Anolis sagrei: one gene and its partners. The protein of the gene in region 2 interacts with the protein of the main gene of each other region in a pairwise test. Links are inferred from orthologs where the notes say so. Each region holds a gene or a part of one and is shown on either strand. Other genes may lie near its edges. The genes, in order: RABGGTB, WDR4 and protein FAM118A.

Region 1 (7,646 bases), on a different chromosome or scaffold from region 2:
ATCCCCAAAACAGCAAATATAGTCAATTTATTTTTATTAGCAAAGGTATTTTAAACAACTTTGATTTCACATACTTTTTCTTTACTTTTATATTTATATTTAGCTGTAACATAGCACCAGATGTATTTACTGCAAGAGAATTACTGTACTTCCTTGCCTTTTTAAAATACAGAAGTCAGGGAAGATAAGTACACAAATCCTACAAAATTACATCTTCCAAAGAACTAAACCTTTTTTTAAATGTAAAGTGAATTTTCAAAAAACACGGGATGCAGACATTTATTTAGCAAAACATTGAGGAAGTCCTATTTTTTTAAGAATACAGTGATATCTTTAAATTTAAAATGCCTCTAAGGTTTCAATAGATATAATACATTACAAAGTATTGCTATTTTCAAACACAGAATTAGTCATTGAGTCATGCTGATGAAAGTTAACATTTACTTATTTAACATCAGCCCTTCATCTTTAAATCAAATTATTTTATGAAGGAGGAGGACCACATAAAGGTTGAATCCTCTTTACAGCTGTTTTTTAGGTCTCAGTGTAATTCTAGAGCTAAAGAGCTAAATCTTCAGCTTTGGACTCAGATAATACATGCCAGTGTTACATCATTGACCTGCAAAACATCTGTAATTCATAGACTGATAAGTTTTTCTTTTACTCATCTTTTTAAGTCATTTTATAAGCTATTTTAAGAGAAATAAAGGCAACTGAATGCACATTAAACATGATACTCACATAATCATCCTTCTTTGTTCCATAAGCAGCTATGTAGTCTGCGTGCTTTTCTAAGAACAATGTAGCCGGTGCATCATTTTTTATTATGACATCTTTTTGTGGTGTTCCCTTAAAATAAAATTATTCAATTATTTTCAGAATGGTTTTCATATGAATTCTATGTCACAATCTAAAACTAATTTGGAAGGCTGCAACAATACTTGTGCAAACACATGCCTACTTAAAGCTTCTAGTAGATTCTAAATAGTTTCCCTCTACCTCTCCACCTAGTGGTCTGGAGCTTGAACTGATTCCTTGCACCAGTTCTGGGACTGGGCAGAGGCCACATGTTGCTCACTCTCAATTTACTGAAGAAGTTTGAGAAGACAATAGAACTGTAGTTCTCAATCTGTAGATCCCCAGATGTTTTGGCCTTCAACTCCCGGTAATCCTAACAGCTGGTATTCATTGAAAAGCTATAGGAAAATGTTTTTTATGATAGAACTAAGTAGGAAATGGCATTTACAAAAATTGTGTTACAAAGTACAGGGTTAGTCAAAATGCATAGGCCAAACATACATACAATTGTATGTATGTTTGGCCTATGCATTTTGACTAACCCTGTATAATCAAGAGTTTTAGCCTAGTTTATGGAGGCTGTAGAACAATCATTTTTATACTATTTCTCTCTTCAACTTAGGCTAGAATCTGCCCAGGGTCCTTATCCAATGAGAAATTAACACTTGTTCATTATATAGTTTCCTAAGTGGAGTCAATAAATAGGTCAGGCCCTGAAAATCTTTTTATGTAACTTACTCATTTCTATTTAATTCTGGGTTTCTGGATATATATGCAAATATATACCACCACCACCACCCCCCAAATTCAAACGCTTTCTGGTTCCAAGTATTTTGGATAATGACTACTCAACCTATACTACAACTTATGATATGGTGCAACATATTATGTAATACTAATAGTATAATATACTGGTAGTATACATATAGTGGTATAACAACTTAGCACAATATGTAATATAATTGTATATTATATATGATATGTTATTAACAATATTACAGTATTGTGGTATAGTACAATATAATAGTTTATAACAATATTGTAATATAATATATTACAATATAATACTACTATGCTATTAATATAATGTAATATAATATATTGTATATACATATATTTATAATATAACGTAATGCAAAATAATACGAATATTATATTATAATTATATATTTATATTACATGTAATATTACTAATAATATCATAATACAATGATATAGTACAATATAGTATTGTACTATATATATTGTATGAATATATATCTTGTAAGCCGTTCTGAGTCCCCTTCGGGGTGAGAAGGGCAGCATATAAATGTCGGAATAAGTAAATAATATACTACATATATATATATATTAATATTACAGTGCGATATAAGGCTTGTAATACAACATAACATATAATATTGTAATGTATAATAGTACTAATATATTATTATATTAACTATAATACTACTGATAAAATATACGAAGATATTATACCGTTTTGTTGTATATTTTAACTTGATTGCGAGCCGCTTTGAGAAATAAAGCGAGATAGAAATAAATATATAATATAATAAATATAAATAAATAATAATAAAATAAAAATAAACCTGTAGTTTGAGCAGGAGAATGGCGACTGGTGGCCATACATGGAGCCTGAGGAGGGAGCCATGTCCGACGCCCACGAGGCTCAGAGCGAGACAATGCAATTAAAAAAAAAATAACCCTTCCCCACGTTGAACCGGAAGAGGCGGGGCAAAAGTGGGCAGCTGAGAAGCGGTCCACCAAGTTCGATCCGACTTGACCTCGTGGTTCTCTCTCAGGCGCGAGCCTGCGCGCTCACGTGACCCACACCGTAACTCTTCTCTGACTGGCAGCAGAACTGACCTATCACTGCCTAGCCTCTGGCTCCTCCCCCCCCCCCCCAGGTTTTCACCAACCCGTTCTATTGGTTTCCGCCTCCCTTCCTATTTTCTCCCCCCCGCCCTTCGAGACTCTCAGAAAACCCACTCTATCCGTTACGGGTAGAAAAAAAAGGAAGGGGCAATAAAGAGCAAAAAAGGCGAAAGATAGAATTAACACGGCGCGAGCGGGGGGAGGGGAGTTACAAAAATCACCTCCACCCTGAAGCGAAAATAGACGCAAGTTGCGGCTTACCATGTTGGCACATCCGTCGCAGCCTGCCGACTGCGCCTGCGCGCGCTCGTCGCTTGAAAGGGCGGGGCGCAAAGGACGCACGCATCCGCCTCCAGTGCTTGAGGACCCCGTCATAGCTGCCCAAGTATTGCCTGTGTTCCTTCACTAAAATTCATTATCGCCTTTCGAGCGCATCTTGGGCCTCTCAAGGGTGTTTCCTCTATAGCTCAAATATACGCGAGTTGTGACCCTGTTTTGTACACTAAATCGACATTCGGTTATGGTTTTACTGGTTGATCGTGTTATTGACACCGATACACGGTAGATTTTTGAAATGAACTCAGTCCCCTGTATCAAGCACTACACAGTATTCGCTCAATCAAGGATCACTGCTTGTCCCCTGCTTCGCCCAGTGCTCATTGGGAGCCTCTGCAGGATTAAGTGTCATGCTTCAATACAATGGAATTATGGGAGTTGTAGTTCAGTGAGGCACCAACACTCTTCACTTAAGTGCTAAAAACCTTGCAAAACTACAACTCACAATACGCCATAGCAGACAAAGCGGTTTCAGACCACATTCATTCTATACTGTGACTCCACGCCTACTTATCCTCTGCCCCACTGGCACATTAAATGCCATAAACCTGGGAGTCTCTGCAAACTTACCGGGTTATCTTCTGTGAAGTCCTAAGAAGTGTTAGCTATGGCAACATTGGTTGCATATACACAGTAGATTTAATGCAGTTGGAGACCACTTTGACAGCCTTGGCCCAATGCTATGGAATCCTGGGAGCCATAATTTGATGAAGTACCGACACAATTTGTCAGAGAAGGCAGAAGACCGTATAAAACTACAGCTCCCAGGATCCCACAGCATTAAGCCATGGCTCTGACACACCCATATAACCCAGAACATCAAGGCAGAAAATCCCACCATATCTGCTTTGAACTGGGTTATCAGAGGGTCCTTCCACACAGCCCTATATCCCAGAATAATGCGTGATAATGTGTGATTTTTTGCCTTGATATTCTGGGATATAGGGCTGTGTGGAAGAGCCCTGAGTCCACACTGCCATATATTCCAGTTCAACAGGTCATGTGGGATTTTATTCAGCTGTATAGAAGGGACCTGACGTTCTTTCAGGAGGCCGAGAAGCACCTCTCTCTCTGCTGGACTCCTTCTCCTGCCATTCACAGAGGGCACAGGCAGGAAGGACTCAAGGCCCTTTCACACAGCCATATAACCCAGAATATCAAGGCAGAAAATCCCACAATATCTGCTTTGAACTGGGTTATCTGAGTCCACACTGCCATATATTCCAGTTCAAAAGCAGGTAATGTGGGATTTTAATCAACTGTTTGGAAGGGGCCTGAGACATCCTCTGCTGACCTCAGCCTGTTGCCCAGAGACAGGGAAAAGCATGCCTCCAACCTGAGTCTGACTGTTAAAAGATGAAAGATGGACGCTTTACTGCTGGGAAACAAACTGGACTCTGTTCTTCCAGATTCGGGGAAGGAAAAGAGCACAGGGGTTGTAATTTGGTGAGACACCAGCACTCTTTGGCAGAGAAGGTTAAAGTTCAAGTAAAACGACAACTCTCATGATACCACAGCATTGAGCTACAGCAGTTAAAATGGTGTAACAGCATTAATTACACTGCACAAATGCAATCTCAGAGGGTGCAAGCATCTTACATTTAAACTTCAATAACTAAGATAGAGTTTTGACTTATCAATCTCCAATATATGAGACTTGAACTCTTCCTAATCCTTGATTCACAAAATAACTCGAAATTAAGACATAAATATTTTTTTCACTTTCCATGAAAGCCAACATGGTCAGTGACACTGTGTCATGAAGTAAAGCTGAAGTCTTAAACTGAAGGCTAAAATGAAAAAACAAAACAAAAAAAACAAGAATTTATCTAAACTATGGCAAGATAGAACTCAGGAGAGTCATTTTTTCAAAAGCATTTTACAGCAAAATCTGGCAAATTATATCATTTGGGCACCAGACACAATGCACAATCACTGATCCATTTATTTCTTTGTTTAATTTATTCCTCTGGTACATTCCAACCGGGGTTGCAATATGAAATATTCCATTTCAAAATGTTTCAATAGTATACTTGCATAGATATAGGACTAACAAACACAGATTTTCTTTTTACCCTTTCCTGACATTTTTTTTCACCCAGAAGTGGGAATTGCAACGCTTTCCACATATAGTTATGTTGCAGCTTCCAGCAGTCTTGCATCTACTCAGCAAACCAATTGTGATGGTATCGCAATTCAACATCCAAAGTGACAAGCAACTCCATAAACTAGAAAGTATTCAATTGTGTCAAATGTGTAACTGAACTGAAGTAAAACTGAAGTGTTGACACCAATACATTCAGCCACATCCTTTGAGAAATTTTAAAAATAAAAACATTTCATTGCCAAAAAATATTCACAGTCTAGGTTACAAAGGAATTAGCTTTAAATGTAATACTATAGCTAATAAAAATAATGCTAGTACTTTAAATGTTACTAATAGAAATATTGCATTGTATGGCAATTTTTTAATCATGTTTGAGTATTACCAAATACCATTTAGCTGCTTCACTTTAAGCAACTGCAAAGGCACTGTCATCATTAAATACACTCAAATAATGTTCAAAACAAGCCTCACAATTATTTTACATCTGCCACACACTAAATTGATTATAAAACTATTAACAATTTACAAAGAAACAGAATTATTTTAGATAAATAATTATAATGTCATCAAAATGGATGGCTTCTTCAGAGGCACTGCTTTAAAAGCACTAGGATGGATTTATAAAGGCACTGCTTTAAATTAAGTGGGTGATGGCCACAATTGAAACAGATTTAATATTCTCTCTCTGTGCTGCTGAGCTACAAAAAGACATAGTATTTTACATTACTATGTTAAATACTTAAAAGCCTTGTGCATAGAATGGCAAGTTCGCAGTAAACCTATGGACAACTTATCTGGTATCACTGCAAGCAATATACACCTCATATTTTAGCTTGCTGTAACATTTCGTAGTTATTAAAAGGCAAACAGGTTCACAGAATTGGTATAAACTGTGATAAACTCACAATTTCAATTCACAATTCACAATTTCCCACTACACAGAAAGATACTTAATAGCTCTTCCCACAATTGTGGTATTTGTAACCCAAACTGCTGAGGCTAATATCAGATCTTACATATGGCACTGAAACAGTTAAATTTTCAGATTCCAGGCATTTGAAAGATATTGCAGAGTAGACTTCAGAAGTCAAGCATAACAATCTGGGTCAGTTTAAAGCCAAGTGAAAGCTTAACATTCTAGCAAAGCATACAGTACTGACATGTAATGCCTGAGAAAATTTCCAGGCTAATTTTTTTAATTGTTAAGTATGCAGCTTTTTATGTATTAAAAATAAGAAACAGATATGTCATTGAAAAAATGTTCTACTATAGAGGCAATTTTTCTTTTAACATTATAGAGTGGAAACAAGTGTTTGCGGAAGTGGGTTAATGCATGCTAGGAATTCAAGCATTAACTATATGGTTTCCGTGTTCTCTCAACCTTTAAATCTGCCAAGATGTTCACGGCCTACAATTAGCCTTTGAATCTGTGCTGTTCCTTCATATATCTGAAAGAGAAAATATTTAATAAGTAATATGTGCACTTGGACCACTCTGCAACTATACAGAATTTCAGTGAAAACAAGATAAACCTTGGAAGTGATAACAACCCAAATGATTCAAAATTCAAGTTGCAAAATATGTTATGGGGGTAACATAATGTGCACTAATCACTTCAAGGCTGAACATAATGGAAGGGGTCCAGAAAGCTTCTTTGCACAAATTCTAAATACTTTGATGTTTTCAGTGAAATGTTTACACTGAAACCAGATAATAGTACATCACAAACGACTTTAAAAGTCCTCTTGCTTTGAAGAAAAAATTATATATGGGAACTGTTGTTTAACAGATACAAACCCTTTGGAATGTATAAAACCATATTCTGATATTTTGTTTTGCCATCATTTGAATTATAACAACCAATATCCCTGTGGCAAACACTATTCTCTATCAGTATATTTTTTTTGTTATTGGTACTTTTGTAGTACTTTGGGGGGTGCATTTACAAATGCATATACAATTTGTAATAAATAACACTGATATGCTTAGTTTTCATATAAACTGACTGCATATCATCAAAGCTATCTGACAAAACATTAACAGCACAGTATATAATCATCTACAAGTATACTCAAGTCTAAGACAGCAATCCTATGAAGTCTTCGTCAGACTTATGTACTACTGAATTTAGTAGAATTTATTTTTCAGCTAATGTGCATACAAGCACTCAGCATAGGTACAAAGAAGTTACAGAGGGATAACTGCTACTAAAATAAAGAGAGCATTACCCTACAAAAAGACTCTTCAATCAGTTAGATTTATTAGTTCAAGAACAAATGTTTTGACTGTCTAAACAGCATGTCTTTGACTACTATTTCTTCTTTTATTATTAGTTCTTAATACACACATTGGTAATAGCAAGAGCCACCTTTAAGGATGCAATCTCTTCTACGATAATTCCTCATAAAACAACTGGTGGCACAATTCTTGCATTATGCACAATCTTTACAAAAAAGTCAAACTTTTCTTTTGAACTACTATGTCTCATGCAAAATGTTGTATATTAAGAGACTACTACTATGAATCCTTT
Region 2 (7,317 bases):
AAGTCAAGATGTGGTTTTTTGAACAAGAGTTTGCAAATGCAGAGTAACTGACACAGGAAAATGGAATGACTAGACAATGAGTCCAGATAACATGTTTAACAAGGAGACACTATGAATTTATATTTTAGTGAACTCTTTAGTTTTTATTATATGCTATGTTTTTAATTGTATTTATGACATTGTAGGCATTGATTTTTGCCCTGTTAACTGCCTTGAGTCGCCTAAGGGCTAAGAAAGGCAGTATACAAATATAGTAAATAATAAATAAATACAGAGATGGGGCAAAACGTCAGGAGAGAATGCTTCTGGAACATGGCCATACAGCCCAGAGAACTCACAGCAACCCAAAACACAAAACTATTATCAGGTTAACAAACAACCCAGAACAAACAGCTAAAACACATGTGATTTTTTTTCTTGAATCTATTTCTTAGCTTTAAAAATTCACACCCAATGCCTCTTTTAACCTAAAGCCTTTGGTGAATTGAGAAAGAAATCAAGTGTGGTAAGATTTTGGTCAGGGAGAACAGGGTGACTTGGACACTCACGTCTCTAGTAAGTTGTAAGAAATGACAAAATAAAATCAAAAGTTTATATGAACAGCTGTTCCCACTGTTCGTATTATATTATTTTTCACACACCTTTCTTTCCATACCTTATACTAAGACATTCCCAAGCAGGCTTTGTGCGAAAAAGAATCAGTTGTTTGTTGTCATCAGTCAGAGAAAAATATGTTCCTGATGCAGAAAATGCACAGGCGAGGATATCATGACTTGCTTTACCTGATGACTTTCCATCTTTTCTTAAAAAATAAAATAAAGAGAAGAAAAGAAAAGAAAAGAGAGAGAAAGAGAGAAGAAATTATTTCAGGTCCCATCCATTTAAAGTGAAATAACTTCTAAATGTCAAGAACAGGAACTGCTGCTAATGTTAGGGCAGTACCAGTACTATCGGAAAGCCTATATGTGATGTGATGTGATTATATATATATATATATATATATATATATATATCTCCATTAGTTCACTGTAAATTGAGAAAAACATTTATAAAGGCAAAACTTTCATACAAATAATTCGGGCCTTGATTCATCTTTATCTGTTACTAAACACCTCTAAATGAGATAGCAATTAAAATTATATTTCAAGTAAAGCAAGTTTTTTTCAGTCTCACCCTTGCTTTTCCTGAGGATTCTTGTTGGCAGTGGCACAGTCATAAACAAAAATATCATCATGGCTGGAAATTAGAAAAAAAGATGCAGCGGGTCAGTATTTTTTCATCATTTGTGCTACGTTTGAGCCCTTTTCACCCCCAAAACTCCTAAATTAATAACACCATGTAACAAAATTTGAAAAAAAAAACTGTTCCTGGTTTGAAGGTGTCATTTCCTGTTTAATTGTGCACTATTTACTTTGAAAGTAGTTGTTACACCCCAGAAATTTCATTTTGTCACTGCAGGATGTCCCACGAAAACAAAAGTTTTTGCAGTGTAATAAACTTTTCCCATGCTTTTATGATAGAACTAATTAGGAGATGACATTTACAACCTAGGAACAGAAATCATGTTACACAGTGCAATCCATCCTTGCTTTTTATTACAACGTCAGTATTGTAACTCCCTGTTTGGCATAGGTCTGCTCATGCAAAGCAGGTGAACATAGCATTGAATGAAACATGCAAAATAACCACAGGATGTCTTAAACCTACATCTGTTGATTACAAGCTAGCTGGCACTGCCCCCCCCCCCCGAATGTGCGATAGAAATTGCTGCTAAATGTGAAAGAAATAAGGTTGAACACTGTGAAAGCCATCCACTACATGGCTACCAGCCTCCCCTCAATAGACTGCAATCAAGGAGCTTTATGAGAACTACCACTCCTCTTGGCGTCCCTCCAGCAACAGCAAGGGTATCCCTCTGGGCAGCTAAACCAGGAAATCCCAACTGGATCCCCCCCCCCCCCCCCCCGCAACGGTCTTCCTCCAGGGGCAAACCAAGAATGGGCAACTTGGAAGACCCTGAACAGACCCAGAAGTGGAGTGGGCAGATCAAAAGACAACCTGGCAAAATGACACTACCTAGAAGAATCCCACACTCTATGTGACCGTGGAGCAGAACAGTCATCTTCGCATCTATATGCTTGTCCACTGTGCCCTGCCTCATGTACAGAGGAAGAATTGTTGGAGGCTACAGACAATGCCATTGCTGTTGCCCATTTTTGGTCAAAAGATATTTAGCCGCCTGCATTCCTTCTATTTTTGTCAGTTTTATACTAATGTATGCAATGCTTTTGGTATGAAATAAATAAATAGGGATTGTAACTTGGAAAACAGCAGGGTACACATAAATACATCTGCTATGGCCTCCAGTATATTTTCCATATATAGATATATGGATATAGATTGCATCGGCACTGTGGATGTAATGCAAATTGGCCACCATGTAATGCAATTTGGTTCAATACTGTGGAATCACGGGAGTTGTAGTTTTGCAAGGTCTAACGCCTTCTCAACCAAAGCGCGGTTGCCTCACCAAAGTACAACTCTCAGGATCCTATAGTACTGAGCCATGGCTATTAAAGTGGTGTCACTGCATATATTCTACAGCAGGCCTGGGCAGACTGGGGCCCTCCAGGTGTTTTGGGCTTCCACTCCCACCATTCCTCACAGCCACAGGCCCTTTGCTTTTTCCCCTCAGCCGCTTAAGCAAAGGGCCTGTGGCTGTGAGGAATGGTGGGAGTGGAAGCCCAAAACACCTGGAGGGCCCAAGTCTGCCCAGGCCTACTCTCCAGTGTAGATGAGGCTGCAGTCTAACCCAGAGCCCCTCGCCTCCACGCTGCCCACCTGGGCTCCTTCAAGCGGGCAGCCAGGAGCCTCGTCCCGCCGGTGAGCGCCAGCAGGCCTCCGCGGAGGGCCAGCCCCGGAGGGGGATTCGCACCACGGGTCGCCTCTGCCGCCTTCTCCATCGCGCCCACGTGGAAGGACAACAGAGCCCGGCGTCGCCGGCCGAGTGACGTCATGGGACAGCCTGCCGGAGGAAGCCGAGAGGCTTCGGAAAGACCCGGCGCGCCAAAGAGGTGCGTCTATCGCGTGCGCACCCCCGACTTCCGGTATGATCCGAAATTGGACTTGGGCCAAGAAAGCTCGATTTGTGTACCAAAAGGAACACCTCTCATGATTTTTTTCACCAATATTTTGTTTTTTTTGGTAAAGAGACAAGAGTGTCACCCACACCATAGAGCAGTGGTTCTCAACCTGTGGGTCCCCAGGTGTTTTGGCCTACAACTCCCAGAAATCCCAGCCAGTTTACTAGCTATCAGGATTTCTGGGAGTTGAAGGCCAAAACATCTGGGGACCCACAGGTTGAGAGCCACTGCCATAGAGTTAATGCAGCCTGACACTCCACTTTCACTGCCATGCTTTATAATCCTGGGAGTTATAGTTTGATGAAGCACCAATGCTCTAGGGCAGAGAAAGCTTGAAAAAAAATACAGCTTACTGAATTCCAGCGCACTGGGGGCCCTTCCAGACAGAAAATCCTACAATATCTGCTTTGAACTGGGGGCCCTGCCAGACAGGCCCTATATCCCAGGATCTAATGCCAGGTTTTCTGTTTACCCCAGATTATCTGGTAGTGGGGACTCATAAAGCAGAAAACTTGGGATAAATTCCTGGGATTTAGGACCTGTCTGGAAGGACCCTGGAGACCCTTCAACACAGCCCTATAGCCCAGAATTTCAAGGCTGAAAATCCCACCTTATCGGAGTGTGAATTCATATAACTCAGTTCAAAGCAGATAATGTGAAATTTTCTGCCTTTATATTCTGCGATATGGTGCTGTGAGAAGGGCCCTGTGTTATCTGAGGGCCCTTGAACACAGCCCTATACCCCAGAATATCAAGGCAGGAAATCCCACATTATCTGAGTGTAGACTTAGATAACCCAGTTCAAAGCAGATATTGTGGGATTTTCTGCCTTGATATTCTGGAATATAGGCCTGTGTGGAAGGGCCCTATGTCCACACTGGCATATATTCCAGTCCAAAGCAGATAATGTGGGATTTTATTCAGTTGTGTGGAAGGGGCCTCAGTTATTGCCAATTTAATGCAAGAAAATCTGACTTGATAAAAGATATTGCCAAAAGTGTTGGTTCATTTCTAATGTTGTGAGTGTTACTGAGCTTTAGCTTTCAAGAATGAGCAATGCACTGTCCTGTCTTTATTAAGATTTATAATGAATATGTACGTTTATAAACCAGAATATCAAGGCAGGTAATCCACAATATCTGCTTTGAACTGGATTGTCTCTTTCCACATTGCCATATGATCCAGCTCAACGTGGATTTTATACAGCTTTTTTGAAGGGGCCTGAAAAAGGCCTTCCTGGATCTACCCTGACCCTATAAATGCACTTTGAGGCCCCTTCTACGTGGCCATATAAAATCCAGATTATCTGATTTGAACTGGATTATGTGCCAGTGTAGCAGAGGTCAGAAACTATATGGTCAGGGTAGACCAGGCATGGGCCAACTTCAGCCCTCCACGTGTTTTGGACTTCAACTGCTATAATTCCTAACAGCCGCTGTCCAAAACACCTGAAGGGCTGAAGTTGGCCCATGCCTGGCATAGACCCATGCAATGCAATTTAATTGGATTGAAATGCATTGTAAAAAATTATACCTGAAACAAAGTGTCCATACTGTTGAAAAGTGTCACGGTCTCAACCACCCATATAGATAATTATGAAGTGTTTCGATAAGAGATGCTTGACCTATACAAAGAAAGGCACCACCACCACCACGCCCCATACAGGCTGCTTCTATACTGTATAATTCAACACCCCTTTAATTGCCATGACATCAAGGGAGACGTGGTTTTTCAAGACCTTTCACCTCCTCCAGCAGAGACTGTTGTGGTGCCTCACCAAACGACAACTCCCACCATTCCTCTACATTGAGCAATGACAGTTAAAGTAGGGTTAAACTGCACTAATTCCACAATGTAGAATTCAACTCTCGCCTGCCAACCTTACACAAAAGAAATGAACAATTGTATTTATTCATCTGCAATCTTTAGGCTGCTTTTGCAGACACTGAAGGAAGAAGGAAACCCCTGCAGCAAGAAAGAGTCGCTTTTGAGGGACTCTGGACGAGTCATGTTCAGGGAAAGGCCACAGATTCAGGCGGAGCACTTAAGAGGCGGAACCTTTGTTCTGTGACTGAGGTTGCAACGGGGAGAATTTTAGTGGGACACCAAGATGGCGGCTTCTCTGTTTATTCTCTGGGGTCGCGCAGCACCGTTCAAGGTAATACAGGAGGAGGCAGAGAGGAGAACAGGGCTCTTTTGTATCACTGGAGGCCCCTCCACGCAGGCATATAATCCAGGATATCAAGGCAGAAAATCCCACAATATCTGCTTTGAACTGGGGGCCCTTCCACACAGCCCTATATCCCAGATATAGTCAATAGTAAGGACATCTAGGCTGCTATGAGTTTTTCGGACTTATGGCCGTGTTCCAGTAGCATTTTCTCCTGACATTTCTCTAGCATATGTGGCTGGCATCTTCAGAGGTAATATGCCAGTAAGGGCATCAGCCTAGAAGTAGCCTGGCCTTTGTTCACTTTGAATTGTTTATGGCCTGGAGACATCCTTTGTCTGGGTGGTGTTCACTAGACTTTGGTTGCTTGCTGCATGGAGACTGCCTGTGTTTGGGGGGTGTTTATTAGTTGCAGTCTTGATCCTGGTGTTTTTCAATACTAGTAGCCAAATTTTGTTTATTTTCATGGTTTCTTGTGCTTGTGGATTTCAGTGGCTACTCTGTGTGGTGTGACAAAATGGTTGTCATAGTGTTCCAGAATTTCAGTATTCTCAAATAACATTCTGTGCCCAGTAACTTCTAGGCAGATACCCTCACTATTGACTATGCAATCTTCTTAGGCCCCTTCTATACTGCCATATAAAAGCCAGATTATCTGCTTTGAACTGGATTATTTGCCAATGTAAACTCCTATAATCTCAGTTCAAAGCAGATAATATGGATTATCTGATTTTGTAATCTGGATTATATGGCAGTGTAGAAGGGGTCTCAGTTACTCATATGCTAATGGAGGGATCCCACTCAAAACTTGCAAATCAAGCATGCTAACAGCACCCTTCACATTTGGTTAATAGACATTGGATCTTTCTCTCACCCTGGATGTTCTACAGGTATATATACTCTACTTGCCCTAACACCACCAGATCCTCTGAAGATGCTAGCCACAGCTGCAGGCAAAATGTCAGGAGAAAAAGCTGCTAGAACACGGCCATACAGCTGCACACAACACTCCCACACTGAACAGATATTTGGAAACATTTTATCAGATTCCGGTTTCACTGTGTGGATGACTAAACTGAGGGCCATTCCACATAGCCCTATATCCCAGAATATCAAGGTAGAAAATCCCACAATATCTGCCTTGAACTGCGGGCCCTTCCACACAGCCCTATATCCCAGAATATCAAGGCAGAAGATCCCACAATATCTGATTTGAACTGGGTTATCTGAGTCCACACTCAGTTAATGTGGGATTTTTCTGCCTTGATATTCTGGGATATAGGGCTGTGTTCAAAGGTCCTTAGTTATCTGAGTCCACACTCAGATAATGTTGGATTTTCTGCCTGAATATTCTGGGATATAGAGCTGTGTGGAAGGGCCCTGAGGCTGGATCTACACTGCCATATACTCCAGATTATCAAAGCAGATAATCTACATTATCTACTTTGAACTGGATTATATGACTCTTTACTGCCATATAATCCAGTTCAAAGCAAATAATCTGGATTTTATATGGCAGTGCAGATGGGGCCAGAGGCTCCTTCAACACTGCCTCTATATCCCAGGATCTGATCTCAGATTATCTTTTTATCCCAGATTTTTTGGCAGTGGAGAGTCATATATCAGATTTAAATCAGATAATCTGGGATCAGATCCTGGGGTATAGGGCAGAGTAGAAGGGGCCTCACTTCTAGGTTTGAAGCCAGGAGAGTGATTACATTTACAATATAACCTGGTTTCAAACCACTCTGTGGCATTTATTTTTGCCATTTCCCAGAGAGATATGCACCAGTGCTCTAGAGGCATATGAGATAGGGGGAAAGAGGAAGTGATAGTTTGGAGTAGAGATAATCGGTTATCCTTTCCAGGGGGTAAGTTTGGCTCCTGTTGCTAAGCCATGTCCTTGGGGCATTTTTGGCAGCCTACTTGCTCATCCTAAATTCTCCAACCTTTCTCAGAAAGACAAGTATTTGCAATGCATTCCACATTCTGCAGATTCTTTTT
Region 3 (7,233 bases), on a different chromosome or scaffold from region 2:
TGTAATTTGGGAGTTGTTGTTGCTGGGATTTATAGTTCACCTACAATCAAAGAGCATTTTGAACTCCACAAACAATGGAATTGAACCACACTTGGCACACAGAACTCCCATGACCAACAGAAAATATTGGAAGGGTTTGGTGGGCATTGACCTTGAGTTTTGGAGTTGTCGTTCACCTACCTCCAGAGAGTACTGTGGACTCAAACAAGGATGGATCAGGACCAAACTTGGCATGAATACTCAATATACCCAAATATAAATACTGGTGGAGTTCGGGGGAAATACACCTTGACTTTTCGGAGTTGTAGTTCCTGGGATTTATAGTTCATCTACAATCAAAGAGCAATCTCAACGCCACCAATGATAGAATTGGGCCAGATTTCCCACATAGAACCCCCTTGACTAACAGAAAATACTTTTGTTTTCTGATGGGCTTTGATGACCCTCTGACACCCCCTTACGACCCCCGAAGGGGTCCCGACCCCCAGGTTGAATAACACTGGATTAATGGGCTGCTAATTGAGAATGCTCAATGTTAAGTATTAATGTTAATGCTTAATGTTAATGGAGCCCCTGGTGGCGCAGTGGGTTAAAGCACTGAGCTGCTGAGCTTGTTGATCGAAAGGTCGCAGGTTCGATTCCGGGGAGCGGCGTGAGCTTCCGCTGTCAGCCCTAGCTTCTGCCAACCTAGCAGTTTGAAAACATGCAGATGTGAGTAGATCAATAGGTACTGCTCCGGCGGGAAGGTAACGGCGCTCCATGCAGTCATGCTGGCCACATGACCTTGGAGGTGTCTACGGACAACGCTGGCTCTTCGGCTTAGAAATGGAGATGAGCACCACACTCCAGAGTCAGACATGACTGGACTTAATGTCAAGGGACTACCTTTACCTTTACCTAATGTTAAGGTAAAGGTATGGGTAAGGAAAGGAAAGGAAAAAGGAATCGAGAAAGGAAAGGAAAGGAAAAAGGAAAGGGGAATAGAGAAAGGAAAGGAAAGGAAGGGAAAGGAAGGAGGCTCTCTGGGACCAAAGCAATGGGGTTTTTGCCTCTCCCCAAGGACGGAAAGGGCAGGAGAAGCTCAACGGACACGGCCTCCAGCTTAGCCTGAGAAATGGGTCAAATCCTGCAAAGCCTCCCTTCCTGCCTGGATTGCAGATCAGATCGAGAGCGCTGGCTCCCTTCCTTCCCTCCTTCCTTCCTTCCTTCCTTCCTTCCTTCCTTCTTCCGCCCGCCTCCCTTTACCTGGCCCCGCTGGCGGCTGCTCTTCCTCGGCCGGCTCCAGCCAGCGAGAGGACCGCAACTCCTCCTCTTCCTCCGAGGCTGGCGACAGTGTGAGAGAGAGCCTCCTGTCTGTCTCGAGGAGCCGCTGCACGCCCAAAGCATCCTCAGGTCCCAAAGCAGGCCAATTGCGCGCGCCGCTGGCCAGCCCCAGTCAAGCGGGGGTCGCTGACCAATCCGGGCAGCCGCATCTCGGAAGCTAAGCCCCGATTGGTTGGCTGCCTGGATTGTTATTCTTCTGCTCGCTTGGGTACCCGAGGATATTTGGAAGAGACCTCACTACCCAGAGGGCCCAGAGAAAGACATTACTAGCATAAGCTTTCAAAAATGTTTACACTAGAGATGTCTTTCCCTTAATCTCAAAAGTACTGCTAGACTCCTTTATATTTTTTTCTGTTCAAACTGACTGCCAGGCTATCAAATGCTAATCAAGGTGGTCACTTGAAACATTCACACCTAGCTCCAGCAGACAAGAGTCCTTTGTCCCACTCTGGTCTTTCCACAGATATATAAACCCATTTTCCTAGTTCCAACAGACCTCACAACCTCTGAGGATGCTTGCCATAGATGCAGGCGAAACGTCAGGAGACAATGCTCTAGAACAGGGGTCCTCAAACTAAGGCCCGGGGGCCAGATGCAGCCCTCCAAGGTCATTTATCCGGCCCTCGCTCAGGGTCAACCTAAGTCTGAAACGACTTGAAAGAACAACAACAACAACAATCCTATCTCATCAGCCAAAAGCAGGCCCACACTTCCCATTGAAATATTAATAAGCTTATATTTATTAAAATTGTTCTTCATGTTAATTATTGTATTGTTTTAGTGTTTTTGCATTACAAATAAGATATGTGCAGTGTGCATAGGAATTCATGCATGTTTTTTTTTTCAAATTATAATCCGGCCCTCCAACAGTTTGAGGTACAGTGACCTGGCCCTCTGTTTAAAAGGTTTGTGGACCCCTGCTCTAGAACATGGCCATATAGCCCGAAAAAACCTACAACAACCCAGTCAGTTTTTTAGTGGAACAGAATGCATAAGGTTGTGGGTCAACTACAACTCACATTGTGCCAGGTTAAGCCCGAGAAACTCCATCAGTACTTAAAGTTTGTCATTTTGGGCAAGTATGCTCTGGATGCGTCATCGGTGGTACAAAATGCTTTACTAATAATATCTATCTAAATAAAAATGTAATGTTCGTTTGTGCGATTAACAGAACTCAAAAACCACTGGATGAATTGACACCAAATTTGGACACAAGACATCTCTCAGGCCAACGAGTGACCACCACTCATAAAAACACTGAAAAACACAGCAGAAGGGACTAAAAAAGCCAAAAAAACCAAAAAAAATCATTACAACGCACTCCATGCCACACTGTACATCCTGGTGCGGTTTGGAGAAGGATGCACCATGAATGATGGGACTTGCCATACCTGCACTCCCTTTCTGAGACCATTACATCTGCCAACAATGATAGATCAGGACCATAATTCACACAGAGAGCCCACATGACCCACTCTACATCCTGGTGCGGTTTGGAAGAATTTGGATATGGATGATGGGACTTGAAGTAACTTCACTCACTTCCTGAGAGCACTGAGACCCTCGCCAATAACTGTTCAACATCCTACTGCAGTTTGGAGGAGGATGGACCATGAATGATGGGACTGTAGTGAATCATACCTTGTAGGCCGAAGCCAAAGCCTTTAGAGACAGTGAGCCGGCCTCCATCTTGGTGAGGGAAATACAAGGAAAGCCAGATCAGCAGAGGGGAAGAGTTTAGCTGCCCCAGGATTGGCTAGGACAGATGGGAGGAGCTGAAGCTGTCAGTGTAAAAGGGAGGCAGGCAGCTTCTGGAAGAGAGAGAAGTGATTGAACATCAGACAGAGAGAGAAGGGATTTTAAGGGAATTGAATTTCAAGCTGAGGGAAGAGGGTAGTTTGAGGGTGAGTGGAATATTTCCTGAGGGAGAGTGTTGGAAAGGCAGGTGTGGCTATAGAGTGGCCTGGAGAGCCAAATAGCCGCTTGTGGACTGGTGTGAGAGGAAACCACACTGGTTGTTATACACTTTAAAGATCAGAGTATTCTAGTGGGATCTAGATACGCTGAGGGAAATCGCTCACATCGAAGAACAGATACACAGTTGAGAAGTTCAGCAAGCTTGTTAAGTCTTAGTAACTGTTTAAGAAGATTGTGCTGTGCTGACCATATATGCTTTCGTAATTCAAAGAAGAATCCAGATGTTTGTTCTAATATATTTAAATAAACTTTATTCTAGTTCAACTTTACAAGAAGTCCTCACAGTGATTCATTTCATTAAGCCTGTTCCAGTAGAATTCTAACATCTTTTCGCCTCAGACACATTAGGGAGAGTTAAGGAAAGGGCTGTGGCACTCTAAGCTTTACCTCACACATAACATCAAGTTATATTCTCAAAAGCTATTTGAGTGGTGGCAGTAATATCTTAAAAAAAACACATAGAGCTTTGTGACAGGTGTCCAGTTGGAGCCTAAGAAGACAAAGTCCTTTACTCTGTTCCTTCAAATTGATACCAACGGCCAAAGGGGTCATCCAATCTAGTTTACATTGGTGACCAGATGAGAGCAATATAACAGTAGAAGGAACGGGTGCGTGTGTGTGAGCTAGGGAATACATTTGAAGCATTATTCCTTAGAGTTCCGGCCAACCGTTGCAATCTGGTGGCAAGTGGTGGGATAAAAAGGTTTTCCACCCTGCCAACGGCTGATCGGTTACTTGGTCCTTTAGAAGCATGTAGTACCATCACTCACTTACCGAAACCACTGCGACCCTAATCCAATGATTGATCAAGACCAAACTTGGCACACAGAGCCCCCATGACCCACTCTACATCCTTGTGCTGTTTGGAAGAGGATGGGCCATGGATGATGGGACTTGCAGTACCTCCACTCACTTCCAAAGACTGCTGCAATCCACATCTAATGACCGATCACAGAGCCCCTATGAGCCACTCTACATCCTGGTGCTGTTTGGAGGAGGATGGACGATGGATAATGGAACTTGCAGTACCATCACTCACTTTCCGAAAACACTGTGACTCTCATCCAATGTCTGATCAAGACCAAACTTGGCACACAGAACCCCCATGACCCACTCTACATCCTGATGCTGTTTGGAGGAGGATGGATGATGGGACTTGCAGTATCTTCACTCACTTCCTGAAACCACAGCGACACTCATCCAAATACCAATAAAGACCAAACTTGGCACAGAGAGTCCCCATGGCCAACTCAACATTCTGGTGAGGTTTGGGGGAGAACAGACTATGGATGATGGGACTTGCAGTACCTTAACTTACTTTCTGAGACCACTGTGACCCTCATCAATGACGGAACAAGACCAAACTTGGCACACAGTGTCCCCATGACCACTAATGCTTTCCAAAGTTCTTTGTCAGCACAGAGATAACATTCAGATACAATCCTTAATGGACTGGATAATGGAGAAAGGCAGGGAGTTTCAGAAAAACATCTATTTCTGCTTCATTGACTATTCTAAAGCCTTTGACTCTGTGGATCATAATAAATTGTGGCACGTTCTTGGTGGGATGGGCATACCAAGCCACCTTGTCTCTCTCCTGAGGAATCTGTACAAGGACCAAGTAGCAACAGTCAGAACTGACCACGGAACAACAGACTGGTTCAAGATTGGGAAAGGCGTATGGCAAGGCTGCATACTCTCACCCAACCTTTTTAACTTGTATGCAGAACACATCATGCAATGTGCGGGGCTTGATGAATGCAAAGCTGGGGTGAAAATTGCTGGAAGAAACATTAACAACATCAGATATGAAGATGACACCACCCTGATGGCCGAAAGCGAGGAGGAGCTGAGGAGCCTTCTAATCAAGGTGAAAGAAGAAAGCGCAAAAGCTGGGTTGCAGCTAAATGTCAAAAAAAAAAAAACCCCAAGATTATGGCAACAAGAATTATTGACAACTCAAAAATAGAGGGAGAAAATGTGGAGGCCATGACAGACTTTGTATTTCTAGGTGCAAAGATGAGTGCAGATGCAGACTGTGGCCAGGAAATCAGAAGACGCTTACTTCTTGGGAGGAGAGCAATGATCTCGATAAAATAGTAAAGAGTAGAGACATCACACTGGCAACAAAGATCCGCCTAGTCAAAGCCATGGTATTCCCTGTAGTAACCTACGGATGTGAGAGCTGGACCTTAGGGAAGGCTGAGCGAAGGAAGATCAATGCTTTTGAACTGTGGTGTTGGAGGAAAGTTCTGAGAGTGCCTTGGACTGCGAGAAGATCCAACCAGTCCATCCTCCAGGAAACAAAGCCCGACTGCTCATTGGAGGGAAGTATACTAGAGACAAAGCTGAAGTACTTTGGCCACATCATGAGGAGACAACAAAGCCTAGAGAAGACAATTATGCTGGGGAAAGTGGAAGGTAAAAGGAAGAGGGGCCGACCAAGGGCAAGATGGATGGATGGCATCCTTGAAGTGACTGGACTGACCTTGAAGGAGCTGGGGGTGGTGACGGCCGACAGGGAGCTCTGGCATGGGCTGGTCCATGAGGTCACGAAGAGTCGGAGACGACTGAACGAATGAACAACAACAACACAATCCTTAAAGGAAAATGGCGATGCAGCCGGAGCCACGACTCTTCACTGGCTAATCATTAAGCAGCACAATTAGAGAAGAATACTGACAACAAACTGATAAGTCACTGCCAAATCACTCTTATCTCAGAGGGAGTTTTGGACTTAACCAGCAACACTCCATTAATCGACCTAAAGAGAAATAAACAAAGAAAAAACAAGAAGGGTGAGAAAACAAGCTGACCTGTTTAGCCTTCTATGGCTTCCGGAAGCTGAAGCAGTATTTGTATTATAACTTGTCCTACAATCGTTGTTATGGTTTCAGCAAAGCACCATTCTACTACTGTTTCTCTACTACAGGGTGGAAGGCTGTAATTTCCTCTCCCTGCCTGCACTCCTAACCCTGTGGCTGCAGTTTAAAACAATCCTTAAAAGCTTCTATAGTTCTAACATAGTTTTGTGCTGCCTGATACAACTTAGACAATCCATGATTAATGCATTCTTTTAATGTTTTGGTCTATGGAAATTACCCTTTTAAACAAAATATACAAGATATAATAGTGTCGAGATCTGACCCAAATATTTGTTTCTTAACTTTGCATTATAAAGAAAACAACCATTTTTCACAGAATCATAGTCAATACATCACTGTTAGATTAAATTCCCTTCTTCAGCAGCTTCTTCCCTCTGAATATCTGGTTTGCTTTGATCGCTGGCCACTGTTTTGCCTTCTCCTTTCTCCCTTCGATTCTTTGAAACTTTAGTTGCAAAACCTCTATTTAAATGGAGCTGAATTATCTTTCGTTTGTTTTATTAATCCACAATATTTGTATCACACCCGGGAGCTCCGGGGAATGCTGTCAGCCGGCCATTCTCCTTGGCCATGCTGCCCTTCCCTCTTTTTCCCGCTTTGAGCCCATCTTTAAATCTCTTTTCCTGTCCACCAACGTTCCATTTTCCGTTCTTAAGTTCAGAGTAGAGCAACTGCTTTGGGAGACAGTGGTCAGGCATCCGGACAACGTGGCCGGCCCAGCGGAGTTGATGTTGGAGGACCATCGCTTCAATGCTGGTGGTCTTTGCTTCTTCCAGCACACTGACGTTTGTCCGCTTGTCTTCCCAGGAGATTTGCAGGATTTTCCGGAGGCAGCGCTGATGGAATCGTTCCAGGAGTTGCATGTGACGTCTGTAGACAGTCCACGTCTCACAGGCATAGAGCAGGGTTGGGAGGACAATAGCTTTATAGACAAGCACCTTGGTCTCCCTACGGATGTCCCGGTCCTCAAACACTCTCTGCTTCATTCTGGAAAATGCTGCACTTGCAGAGCTCAGGCGGTGTTGTATTTCGGCGTCGATGTTGACTT

The links.
Region 1: the proteins of WDR4 (region 2) and RABGGTB interact in binary tests that used the Homo sapiens proteins (3 or more experiments, as listed by UniProt). The two-hybrid records come from large-scale screens. The link is inferred for Anolis sagrei from reciprocal best matches to the Homo sapiens genes WDR4 and RABGGTB.
Region 3: the proteins of WDR4 (region 2) and protein FAM118A interact in binary tests that used the Homo sapiens proteins (3 or more experiments, as listed by UniProt). The two-hybrid records come from large-scale screens. The link is inferred for Anolis sagrei from reciprocal best matches to the Homo sapiens genes WDR4 and FAM118A.

Annotation. Positions count from the first base shown.
Region 1 is NC_090024.1:160,845,682-160,853,327, forward strand, and holds the start of RABGGTB (geranylgeranyl transferase type-2 subunit beta), read right to left. Parts: upstream 3,064-7,646; 5' UTR 3,049-3,063; coding exon 2,935-3,048; intron 850-2,934; coding exon 742-849; intron 621-741; exon of another isoform or gene 536-620; intron 1-535. Other genes in the region: ACADM (medium-chain specific acyl-CoA dehydrogenase, mitochondrial), read right to left, coding at 6,493-6,564. UniProt on the Homo sapiens protein: Catalyzes the transfer of a geranylgeranyl moiety from geranylgeranyl diphosphate to both cysteines of Rab proteins with the C-terminal sequence -XXCC, -XCXC and -CCXX, such as RAB1A, RAB3A, RAB5A and RAB7A.
Region 2 is NC_090023.1:75,200,068-75,207,384, forward strand, and holds the start of WDR4 (tRNA (guanine-N(7)-)-methyltransferase non-catalytic subunit WDR4), read right to left. Parts: upstream 3,067-7,317; 5' UTR 3,018-3,066; coding exon 2,842-3,017; intron 1,237-2,841; coding exon 1,174-1,236; intron 803-1,173; coding exon 656-802; intron 1-655. Other genes in the region: NDUFV3 (NADH dehydrogenase [ubiquinone] flavoprotein 3, mitochondrial), read left to right, coding at 5,254-5,301. UniProt on the Homo sapiens protein: Non-catalytic component of the METTL1-WDR4 methyltransferase complex required for the formation of N(7)-methylguanine in a subset of RNA species, such as tRNAs, mRNAs and microRNAs (miRNAs).
Region 3 is NC_090025.1:100,455,448-100,462,680, reverse strand, and holds the start of protein FAM118A, read right to left. Parts: upstream 3,010-7,233; 5' UTR 2,965-3,009; intron 1,399-2,964; exon of another isoform or gene 1,387-1,398; coding exon of another isoform or gene 1,246-1,386; intron 1-1,245.